3 linked regions of the Oryctolagus cuniculus genome follow. The protein of the gene in region 2 interacts with the protein of the main gene of each other region in a pairwise test. Links are inferred from orthologs where the notes say so. Each region holds a gene or a part of one and is shown on either strand. Other genes may lie near its edges.

Region 1 (3,130 bases), on a different chromosome or scaffold from region 2:
GAGGAGCACAGCACAGACCTGGAGAGCTGGGTGGGGAGGCAGGCAGCATTGTGGGGGCCACTCTGGGCGGCAAGACCCATGCCACGTGCTGCTGTCCATGGGCAAGGACTTGGCCTACACTGCTGGGCATGGCCAAGGCGGGATGGGAGTGGTACCAGCGAGGAAGGTTCTCAGTGCCCCAGCTGACCAGGATGGTGACTCTACCCTGATGGCACATTACCATCATCTGGGGAAGCAGTCCCAAAATGCAGAGTCCTGGGCCCCACCTGTGAGACTCCCCATGCATCTGTTTGCAGGGGAGCTTGGCCCCCTGTTCAAACCTCTTTCCAGGTGATGGTACCTGTGGGTAGTGCTGACTCCCCAGTTTGGGAGGGGCTTGAGGGGAAAGGGGGCTCTGGGGACAGTCAGGGCTGGCGCCTGGAGGGCAATGCTTGCTGCAATTTCTGAGGAATCTGTTCGCTTTCCCCTGAAGAGCAATTCTCATAACATTTACCAAAATGAAAATCCTGATTAATTCTGCAGGTTTATGGTTCCCCAGAGGCTGGAGGAAAACATCGTTTGGCACCAGAAGCAATCTTTATTCTGGCAGGGCAGGACTGCTTTCTAAACACTAGATTCTCAATGTTCAGTGCACGTTTCCTGGCATTGCAAGGTAGTCCATCCACAGAACGTGGCGAGATACAGCCACGGCCATTTCTCACGCTGCCACCTGTCCTAAGCGCTCCCAGGGATCCTTAGCAGTGGAGCCCTGGGCAGATACGTTTCTTGTTAGCCCAGAATTTCTTGGTTTGGGGAACTGCTGCTATCCCATTACCTGCAGTTCAGATGGGCCGTTATCCACAACAGTTCACACATCTCTGCCCAGGGGGATGTGGTCCGGGACCCATCTTACAGTGGGAAAATAACTGGCCACAGTGTTGGCTCCAGAGGTAGGGATGGGGTTCAGAAAGGGCCCGTCGGCATTATTTGTTTATTTTTTGTGACTATGTGGGTAAGGGTCAAGTTTGCTCCTGAAGATGCAAAGCTACAGCACGTCAATCTGGATTTCCCAGGGGTCGTTGTCCGCACACTGTGTGGGTGAAGATGCTTGTTAGAGACTGAAGCCTAATGGAGAGAAGGTGGGGAGGCAGAGACAAAGAGGCAGAGACAAAGAGGCAGAGAGAGGGGAAGGCAGAGACAGGCTCAGAGAGAGAGAAATAGAGGCAGAAGGAGAGGAGGCAGACTAAGGAAGAAGCGGGGCCCAGGCGAGGTGTGTGTCTGTGGCATCAGTATGTGTGGGTCCGGGGCTCCAGGTCTAGTCCTGTGGACTCTCCCTGAATCCCTGTAGGGCGAAGCCCTGTGGAGCTGGGTTTCTGTCCCTTGCGACAGGAAGCATCTTGACTAAGACAGGAGGCTTCTGGAGGCTGTGTGGGGCAGGCACTGCAGAGTGAGGCAGGCGTGGTCAAAGAGTGTGTGAGGCAGCTGTCCCTGGGACGTCCACGTGTCTGTTTCGGGATCGTAGCAGTCAAAGGAGGCGGAGTCCTCGATGTTGCAGTCGCTGGTCAGCCGCCGCCCGCCCGTCACGTACAGCTTGTTCCCCATCACCGTGGCCCCGTGGTGCATCCTCCGGTCTTTCATGTCCGCGCATTTGGCGAATTTGTTAGACTGAGGGTCATAAGCAAGAATCCTCCTTGTGTAGCCTGAAAACGCAACGGCGCACGGGCAGTTCAGTGTTGCTCGTCTGGGCTGGGAGGTTAGCTGGTCCCTTCTACTTCCCAGTCCCCTCCACATCCAACTGGGATGCAGCCAGCTCCCTCCCCTGCCCTGCCCTGAGGCTGCGGCAATCCTCAGCTACAGCGTGGGCCGCTGAGCTACGCTGCCATGGCGTGGTATGTGGCAAAGCTGGGGTTGGGGCCCAGATCTGGCTGAGCCTGGCTCCTGCATCCTTCACCCCAAGTTAAGGCCACATATCAACCACCTTTAGATTAGGAGCGACCTCTCAGTTCTAGTAGCTTTCTCAGCCTCACTGGTTTTTCTCCCTCTCATACTCCTGTCCAAAAGCTGGAACAACCCAGAGGAAGAAGTCTTCCTTTTGGAAATCAGAAATAGGTGGCCACAGTAGCCCTATCTGGTGGGTACTTAGAGGACCCCCATTTTACTGATGGCAAACTGAGGCAAAGAAAGCCTAGTAACGTGCCAAAGAGCATATAGCCAGTTAGTGGAAGAGTCAGGAATTGAACCCAGATCTATCTGATGCCAAAACCAGTCCTTTAAACCACAGCACTGTGTTGCAGTTACAGAGAAATCCAGTAGTAGTCAGTGTTATTGATCCTGATAGCCAACGGTACCAGTGTGTTCGTAGCCAGTATTATTAGTATTGGTAGCTGATGTTACAGATCTGTCAGTGGCCAGTGTTAGCAACAACAGCAGATAGTTTTCTGTTGCTGTGTGTCTGCGGTATGCTAAGAGCTCGAGCCACAGCAGTATGCTTTATTGTCATAACTCTAGGAAGTAGGCATGACTTTGTCCCTTCTGTACAGAAAGACAGGGAGATGGTTCTGGGTAAGGAGAGGGCTTTCTCGGGTTGGCTGTGCACCTGTCTGTCAGAGAGCCATTGTCCCAGGAGTCGCCCGGCTGTCTGTTCACACTCACCTCCCACAATGACGATCCGCTCCCCCAGCACCACTGCCGGGGCACACACGTTCTTGATCATCCTGGTCTCCATTTTGAACCACGTGTTTCTGGAAATGTGATAAACCTGTGGGAGAAATAGATCCAGGGAACTGCATTCAAAAGCACATTTTGGGGTGTAAAATGCATACATTTTCATGGGGTAGAGTGCAAAATTGCAACCCATATATGTATAGAGCCAGCCGATCAAACAAGGCAATTAGCCTTTTCATTTCCCTGCCTTCATGTCTGGAACCTGCCAGCTCCTCTCTTAGTTCTTTCTACAGGATACAATGTATCATTGTGAACCCATGCACCCCACTGTGTGGTGGGACCTGTGACTTTTTACTTCTGTTGGAAGGTTTGAAAAATACAGAAGGAGTAATTAAGAAGGTGAACAAGGAGTGAGTTTTTTCTTTCCAGTTAAGCCATAGCTATTAGTATTACTGAATATTAATAGATAGGAGAAAGAAGATTATTA
Region 2 (3,886 bases):
GAGGGGCTGGGGGTGCGGCCTATGCAAATGACATGCTAATCAGTCGCCTGCAATTAACCTGGCAGGAACGCCTCCCGCTGCCCCCAACCTCCGCGGGAGATCTGGAAGCTCCCAGGCTGCCCAGGGCCCGGCAGGCCTGTGCCCCACCCCCTCCCCGGAAGGACACGCATCGAGAGTTCCAGACTTTTCTCTGATGCCTGCCCTCAGCCTCCACAAACCCTGATTCCTCTTCCAGCCGACCATCCACGCCTTGAACCTGAACCTGAACCCCAACCTTGGGGGCCTCCAGTTGTTCTGGATTGTTCCCTGGGAAGCAGATGGGCAGGGGACGAGTGTCCTGTCCCCAGGGGCCCGCCCTGGGTTTCTGGACAAAGAAAGGACTTGGGGACATCAGCTCGGGCTCTGCCACCTTCCCTGTCCCCTGGATTGATTGTTCCGGGTCCCGGGGGGGGGAGGGGGAGACCATGACCTTCACAGCCTGACCCCGGTGGCCCAGGCAACCGGTCCCCACCCATGAGGACACATGCACCCCAGGGCGACAAGTCACTCCAGGCCGGTTTATGACACGTGGCTGGGGGTGGAGCCTACAGCAAGGTCTCCCCAAGCTGGGGGGGAGGAGGCGGGCAGGGGCACCCGGGCTGTTCCAGCGCCCGGGCCGTGGCTTCCAGTGCTGCCAACTCCTCCGCCTGCCGGGCCTCCAGGATTGCCACCTGCTCCTCCAACTTGCGCCGCTGCTCCTCCTGCTTCCGGTGGGCGCCTCTGAACGCCAGGACCAGGGCACTGCAGGGTGTGGGTGGCTGAGCCGGGGAACAGCGCCCCACCCCAGAGAACAGCACCCCCACCCCACCCAGGGCTGCGGCGGGGGCGGGGCGGGGCGCCGCGGGGGCGGGGCTACGTCCTAGCTGGCTCCGGGCATCCTGCAGGAAAGGCGTGGCCTGCACTGCACCCGCTCACTATCTTCCAAGTGGGGGGAACGAGGCCCAGGGACACACCCGCGGTCAGCAGGGGTGGGCTGCGGGGGGCGGCGGCCCACCTGTGCGCCTTGCATAGATCGCTGTTCAGCTCGGCGCTCTGAGCCCGCCGGACGCGCCCCTTCTGAGCCACCTGCTCCAGCTCCCGCCACAGAGCCCGCAGCTGAGCGCGAAGATCCGCGGCCCTGGCGCGGGAGTGGAGACAGCGGGGCTCCGGCCGCGGCCCGACCCGGTCCTCCTCTCCGCTCCCCACGCCCCTGCGCGCAGGCGCACGCTGCCACACCACACACACACACACACACACACACACACACACACGTCCCCACCCCCGCCTCCTCCGCAGAACCCACCCAGGCACACACCTGGCGAGCGAAGCGGCCAGCTCCTGGGCTAACCTCTCCGGGTCCCACGCCCTGCCCACCTGGCCTCCCTCGGTGGCGTTGGGGACAGCAGGAGGACCCTGTAGGAGACAGAAGGGAGGGAGGTGACCTCTGTCTAGAAGTGCTCAGCCCAGCCTGGGCATAGAAGCTGGCCTGGGGGGGGGGCAGCCAGAGCCCCTCGCTTCCCAGAGCCCCCATTCTGCTAAGAGACCCTCAAGTCCCTGATAAGGGAGATAAGTCACAGGGCCGGGGTGGGGTGGGGTGCCGAATATTGCTCCTTTGAGGGCAACCCAGGAGGGCTTCCTGGAGACGGTGGACATTCCTGGTGGCAGCACCGGCTTGCAGGTGGGAGGGGTGATGCGAAGAGCCCCGTTTAGAAGCCTGGGGCAGGGGCGGTGTGGTGGCACCGCGGGGCGGGCTGCTGCCTGGGACAGCCGTGGCCGTATCAGAGTGTTGGTGGCGTCCCAGCTGATCTGCGTGCGCCCCAGCTCCCTGCGCATGCGCCCCCTGGGAGGCAGGGGCCCACGACTCCAGGGCTTGGGTCCTGCCGCCCACGTGGGAGACCCGGATGGAGCTCCCGGCTCCTGGCCCAGACCCGGCCTTTGCAGCCATGTGGGGAGTGAACCGGCAGATGGAAGACCTCTCTCCCTCTCTCTCTCTCATCCACTGAACCCCTAGGGGCCAAGGGCAGCGACCCCCGAAGGGCCGCTCACCTGGGGCCGCTCCTCCTCCTCCTCCTCGCTGCTGCCCGCCCCGCTGCTGTCCCCCGCGCCGCTGTGGGGCCCCGCGGCTCCCAGCTGCGCGCGCTCCCACTGTAGCTGCTCCAGCAGGAGTGCGTGGGCGGGGCCCTGGGCGCGCAGCGCCGCCTCCCGCAGCTCCAGGCCCCGCTTCTCCCGCCGCACCAGCTGCAGCTGCAACATCAGGTCCGCCAGGGTCTCCTGAGGGGTCGGGGAGGGGAAACTGAGGCTGGCGAGCACGTTTGGGAAAAACTGGATTGAGAGGTCTGTGAGTAACAAAACTCCTATTCATCCCTCAAAACCCCAGCTTCAATTCTCCCTCCAGGAAGCCCTTCCCAGCCCAGCAGAACCTTTCCCCCTCCCCATCCCAACCACACCTCTGTCGGTTCTGACCCCCCCCCCCCAGGGACCACAGCCCCTGTGTACCCGTGTGGCCACCAGTTCCCTCTGTATCTCCATCTTCTCCAACCGCGGCAGGGCCGGGCCGGGCTGGGCTTCCAGCATGGCCTGCACCATGGCTTCTGCGTGGGGCATGGTGGGCGTGGGCTCCACGGTGGGGCCCGGCTCTGGGGGGGTCTTCACCAGAGCCTGGCGCTGCCGCAGACGCCGGGCATAGCCCTGCAGCAGGGCGGCCACTTCCTGCGGTGTGGGTTTATCCACACTGCTGCCCTCGGGGCTGCGGGAGGAGAGGAGGAGTGGGTGCCGCAGGCCATCACGGAGGCCAGCCCCGGGGAGCCCCAAGGCCCAGCGCGGTCCCCGGGCGCCTACCTTGGCTGTGCCTTCCGCGGTGCCGCGGCGTCTGCGCCGCCCTCCTCCTGTGCCAGCAGCCGCCACGCCTCCCTCTCAGTGGCCTCCAAGTCCCGCGCTCCGGAGCTGGCCTCGTGCAGGGCCAGGAGAGCCGCGCACACGGCCTCACGGTGCTCACTGCGGGACGGGGGTCCTGAGCGCCCTCCCACGCCGTGGCTCGCGGCCCCTCCCCCGCGGGGACCTCTCCCCTGACCTGTCCTGCAGCGCCAGCCGCAGGGCTGTAGCCTCGGCTTCCCGCTGGCTCAGCCGCATGCTGAGGCTCTCACACCGGCCCTTGCGCCCTTGCAGCACGGCCAGTAGCAGCCGGTTGAAGCATTTGAGCTTCTCGATGTTTCTGTCTCGGGGTGGGGGAGGGAGAGGGAAAACGAGGGGACTCTTTGGAGGGGGGGAGCAGCCAGGGGCCAGTTTCCACCCCGCTCCTACCCCGTTTAGACGCCCATCCCCGGGGCTTAGACGCCCATCCCCGGGGCGGCAGGACAGCGGCCGGTGCCCTTAAAAGCTCAGCAGTGGTGGCGCTCACCCGCGGAGCTGTTCCATCTGGGCCTCCAGGATCTGCATCTCGGGGGCCAGGGGTCGCGAGGGGAGAGAGCCCAGGATGTGCACACTGGAGTCACTCCGGATGCGCCGGAGCAGCGGGTGAGCCAGGGAGAGGGAGTCCTGCAGGGAGGACGTGTGCCCTGAGCCAGCCAGATGGCCACCGAGAACCCAGGGCCATGCAACCCCCCAGAGCCAGGATCCGGGTCTCCCCTGCCTGGATGCTGCGGGTTGCGCCTCTCGCACTCACCTGACCCCCCCAGGGCTCCCCATCCGCCCCAGAACTGCTAGAACCACTCCCTGAGCCTCCAGCGTGGCTGTGGGTGCGCGGAGACAGGGGCTCCAGCCTCATCAGAGCATCCTGTAGCTCCTGGACCTGCGAGGGGTGAGGACAATGCCGGGTTGGCCGCGGGTGGGGGAGGGGAGGTTTCAGGCTTGGGGGCTCCACCCACGCACC
Region 3 (3,647 bases), on a different chromosome or scaffold from region 2:
TTTTTATTGCTTTTGCTTTCATATGAGTTGAGAATATTGTGAATGAGTGCTTATGTTGATACCACATTCTTTAGTACAGTGCTATATAATAAAAGCCATATTTTTTTAAAAGATTTATTTATTTTACTTGAAAGTCAGAGTTACACAGACAGAGGAGAGGCAGAGAGAGAGAGAGAGAGAGAGAGAGAGAGGTCTTCCATCCGCTGGTTCACTCCCCAATTGGCTTCAACGGCTGGGAACTGCACCCATCTGAAGCCAGGAGCCAGGAGCTTCTTCCAGGTCTCCCATGTGGGTGTAGGGGCCCAAGGATTTGGGCCATCTTCTACTGCTTTCCCAGGCCATAGCAGAGAGCTGGATCTGAAGTGGAGCAGCCGGGACTCGAACTGGTGCCCACATGGGATGTCGGCACTTCAGGCTATGGTGTTAACCTGCTGTGCCACAGCGCTGGCCCCAAAGCAATATTTTTCTGTTTCATTTGATAACAAAATATGGGACAGGCATTTAGTGTAGCGATGAAGACTGTGCTTGGGATGCTTGCATCCCATATCAGAGTGCCTGGGTTCAAGAGTCGGTCCTGCTCCCAATCCTAGCTTCCTGCCAATGTGTACCCTGGGAGGCAGCAGGTGATAGCTCAAGTACTTGGGTCCCTGCCACCCATGTGGGAGACCTGGATTGAGTTCCTGGCATTTGGAAATTGAATCGGCAGATGGGAGACCTCTGTCCCTATCTCTCTGCCTCTCTGCCTCCCGATGAAATAAATGTAAAAATGGACAACAGAATAATCCATACTCCATTGTGCCTTAAAAGTGTGACGTTCAGAGTTCACTTTTCTTGTTTTGGTTGATGGGTATAATTAAAATAAAAATGTGCATGTTAGTTATACTGAGGTACTGCAAATCCCATTGATTTATAACATTGTCATTGTGATTTGCAGCCAGTGGACTGAGCAGACGTGCAAAACAATGTTAGCACCTCATATGGTCTCTGTTGGAAGTAAAAGCAGTTGTAGGCCATACATAAGCAAATAAGATGAACATGAGCATGGTGTAAAGGCCATTCCTAGCTTATGGGCTGGACAATTTGAGTCAGATTTGGCCCCTAGACTGTATTGCTGACCCCAATTTTAGCGCAACATATATTGTTGGTTATTCACGGTTCAGATAATATTCTTAAGATTTCCTCACCTACTGTTCTGCAACCAAGATTTGGCTATTTGAATATTCATTTATTTTATCTAGAGAAATTGGTGCAGTCTCATTTGTAGCTTCAAGAACAAAGAAGTGACTTCATTTTGTCCAAATTGTAGTTTCCAAAATTAGCAGTTAAGAAAGCTTCTTTTTTAAAAAAAATCCTGTACTTCATGAAATACTTGTAGAACCTAAAATATTAAGTGACTGTGACCATTTATTTTTGTGAGTTGCTGAAATTTCAGTGGGTATAACATAATTACCCTGGAACATTTAAAAGTTACAGTGTTAATTCCTTGCACTTAATCTGACTGTAATCTGACTTATGTATTTCTGAATGTTCAGCAACAGCTGGCGCTCCAGCTGGAGTTGGAAATGCAAGAAAAGGAGAGACAGAGAATAGAGGAACTGCAGAGAGCTCAAGAACAACTGGAGAAGGTAATTTGAAGTTTTATAAATGTTTTGTTTGAAGATATATTAAGTTCTTTGAAATACTGAGGGTTTTTGATCTCTGAGACAGTAGTATGTTAGATGTATTAGCAACAATAATTTACATTTAACATGTTTTCATGCAGATTTTTTTTTGACAGGCAGAGTTAGACAGTGAGAGAGACAGAGAGAAAAGTCTTCCTTTTCCGTTGGTTCACCCCCCAAATGGCTGCTATGGCCGGCACACCGCGCTGATCCGAAGGCAGGAGCCAGGTGCTTCCTCCTGGTCTCCCATGGGGTGCAGGGCCCAAGCACTTGGGCCATCCTCCACTGCCCTCCCGGGCCACAGTAGAGATCTGGACTGGAAGAGGAGCAACCGGGACAGAACCGGTGCCCCAACTGGGACTAGAACCCGGGGTGCCAGCGCCGCAGGTGGAGGATTAGCCTAGTGAGCCGCGGCGCCTGCCCTGACTGCTTCACTTCTGATCCAGCTTCCTGCTAATGGCCTGGGAGGGCAGAGGAAGATGGCCAACATGTGTGGGAGACCAGGGTGGGGTTCCTGGCTCCTGGCTTTGGCTGGTCCCAACCCAGCCAGTGTGGTCCTTTGGAGAGTAAACCAGCATGGAGGATTTCTGTCTCACTGTCTCTTCTTCTCTGTCACTCTGTCTTTGAAATAGTCTTTCAAAAAAGTTTTATTTAATTATATATGAAACATAGTTATCTTCTATTACTATAGAGTGTCGCTCCCCCTCTTCGCGGAGGAACGACACAGGACCCTGCGCTGTTCTTTTGTCTGCTTGGCCCTTCCCGGGTTTGCTGCTGGTCCTTCCCGGGTTGGCTGCCGTCCCTCCACCTCCGTGGAGGGGCGGGCCTCCCTGCCACTTTCCCCACTTCCGTGGGGGAGCGGCACACCGCCGGCCGGCTCTCTCGGGGGCCGCACAGGTGTTCCTTCAGATAGATGTTCCTGGTGCATGTTGTCTCTCTCCTCCTTTATAGTCCTCTTCCACCAATCCCAACTCTGCTACCCACACGCCGAGCACGCTGCTCTCCTCCAATCAGGAGCAGGTCCTGCAGCTTGTCAAGTTGGTGAGAGGCAGCTGTGTAGAAGCTGTTTACTCCTCTCCCAGTGCCATATTGTGGGAGAGCAGATGCATAGAATAAGTCTTAATTCCAGTAACTTAGTCTAGTTGGAGTTGCTCCCCACAATAGAGTAGTAAATAAAAAAAATAAAGTAAATACAATAAAAGTAAATAAAGTCAAGGTCTGTGATTTTGTGTTAAGTACATTCAGATCACTCTTCAAAGACTGATAGAATTTGGCTTTAGGTTGAATATAGCATTGGTAAAAATAAAAATGCTTGGAAATTAATGTGAAGCAAAATGAAGTATGTTCAAAGTATTCTTTTCATTTTATCTGTTACAGGAAATGAGAATGGAAAGTATCGCTAAGGGTGAGGATAGTTTACGTTCAGAGGTGAGAAGCAAAAGATTTTATTTTATGTGAAATGAATGAGTTTCCTGAAATGTAAGGCTTAATTTTGATGCATTAGTAGCTAACTTTTAAATAAGGATATTATCACAATTGATATTCAAAATATATATTCTAGTAATAACAAGTCACAGATATGATGTGCTTTGAAGCAAAATTTCAAAGTGGATAGAAAAAATTGGGCATTCAACTTGTATTTTTTAAAGATTTATTTATTTATTTGAAAGTCATAGTTATATAGAGAGAGGAGAAGGAGAGGCAGAGAGAGAGAGAGGTCTTCCATCTGCTGGTTCACTCCGCACTTGGTCGCAATGTTTGGAGCTACAGCTAGCTGAAGCCGGGAGCCAGGAGCTTCTTCCAGTCTCCCATGTGGGTGCAGGGACCCAAGGACTTGGGCCATCTTCTACTGCTTCCCCAGTCCATAGCAGAGAGCTGTATCGGAAGTGGAGCAGCTGGCACTTGAACTGGTGCCCATATGGGATGCTGGCACTGCAGGCCAGGGCATTCACCCACTGTGCCACAGTGCCAGCCCTGTTGTTTGTA

Evidence for each region. The genes of interacting proteins can lie anywhere in the genome.
Region 1: the proteins of USHBP1 (region 2) and KLHL38 interact in binary tests that used the Homo sapiens proteins (3 or more experiments, as listed by UniProt). The two-hybrid records come from large-scale screens. The link is inferred for Oryctolagus cuniculus from reciprocal best matches to the Homo sapiens genes USHBP1 and KLHL38.
Region 3: the proteins of USHBP1 (region 2) and DYDC1 interact in binary tests that used the Homo sapiens proteins (3 or more experiments, as listed by UniProt). The two-hybrid records come from large-scale screens. The link is inferred for Oryctolagus cuniculus from reciprocal best matches to the Homo sapiens genes USHBP1 and DYDC1.

The regions. Positions count from the first base shown.
Region 1 is NC_091437.1:149,368,207-149,371,336, forward strand, and holds the end of KLHL38 (kelch-like protein 38), read right to left. Parts: intron 2,738-3,130; coding exon 2,632-2,737; intron 1,680-2,631; coding exon 1,381-1,679; 3' UTR 558-1,380; downstream 1-557.
Region 2 is NC_091447.1:65,254,455-65,258,340, forward strand, and holds the end of USHBP1 (harmonin-binding protein USHBP1), read right to left. Parts: intron 3,806-3,886; coding exon 3,680-3,805; intron 3,553-3,679; coding exon 3,416-3,552; intron 3,230-3,415; coding exon 3,089-3,229; intron 3,013-3,088; coding exon 2,857-3,012; intron 2,765-2,856; coding exon 2,515-2,764; intron 2,290-2,514; coding exon 2,065-2,289; intron 1,432-2,064; coding exon 1,334-1,431; intron 1,157-1,333; coding exon 1,034-1,156; intron 781-1,033; coding exon 585-780; 3' UTR 538-584; downstream 1-537.
Region 3 is NC_091446.1:71,137,850-71,141,496, reverse strand, and holds part of DYDC1 (DPY30 domain-containing protein 1), read left to right. Parts: intron 1-1,532; coding exon 1,533-1,625; intron 1,626-3,038; coding exon 3,039-3,089; intron 3,090-3,647. UniProt on the Homo sapiens protein: Functions as part of axonemal radial spoke complexes that play an important part in the motility of sperm and cilia. Plays a crucial role during acrosome biogenesis.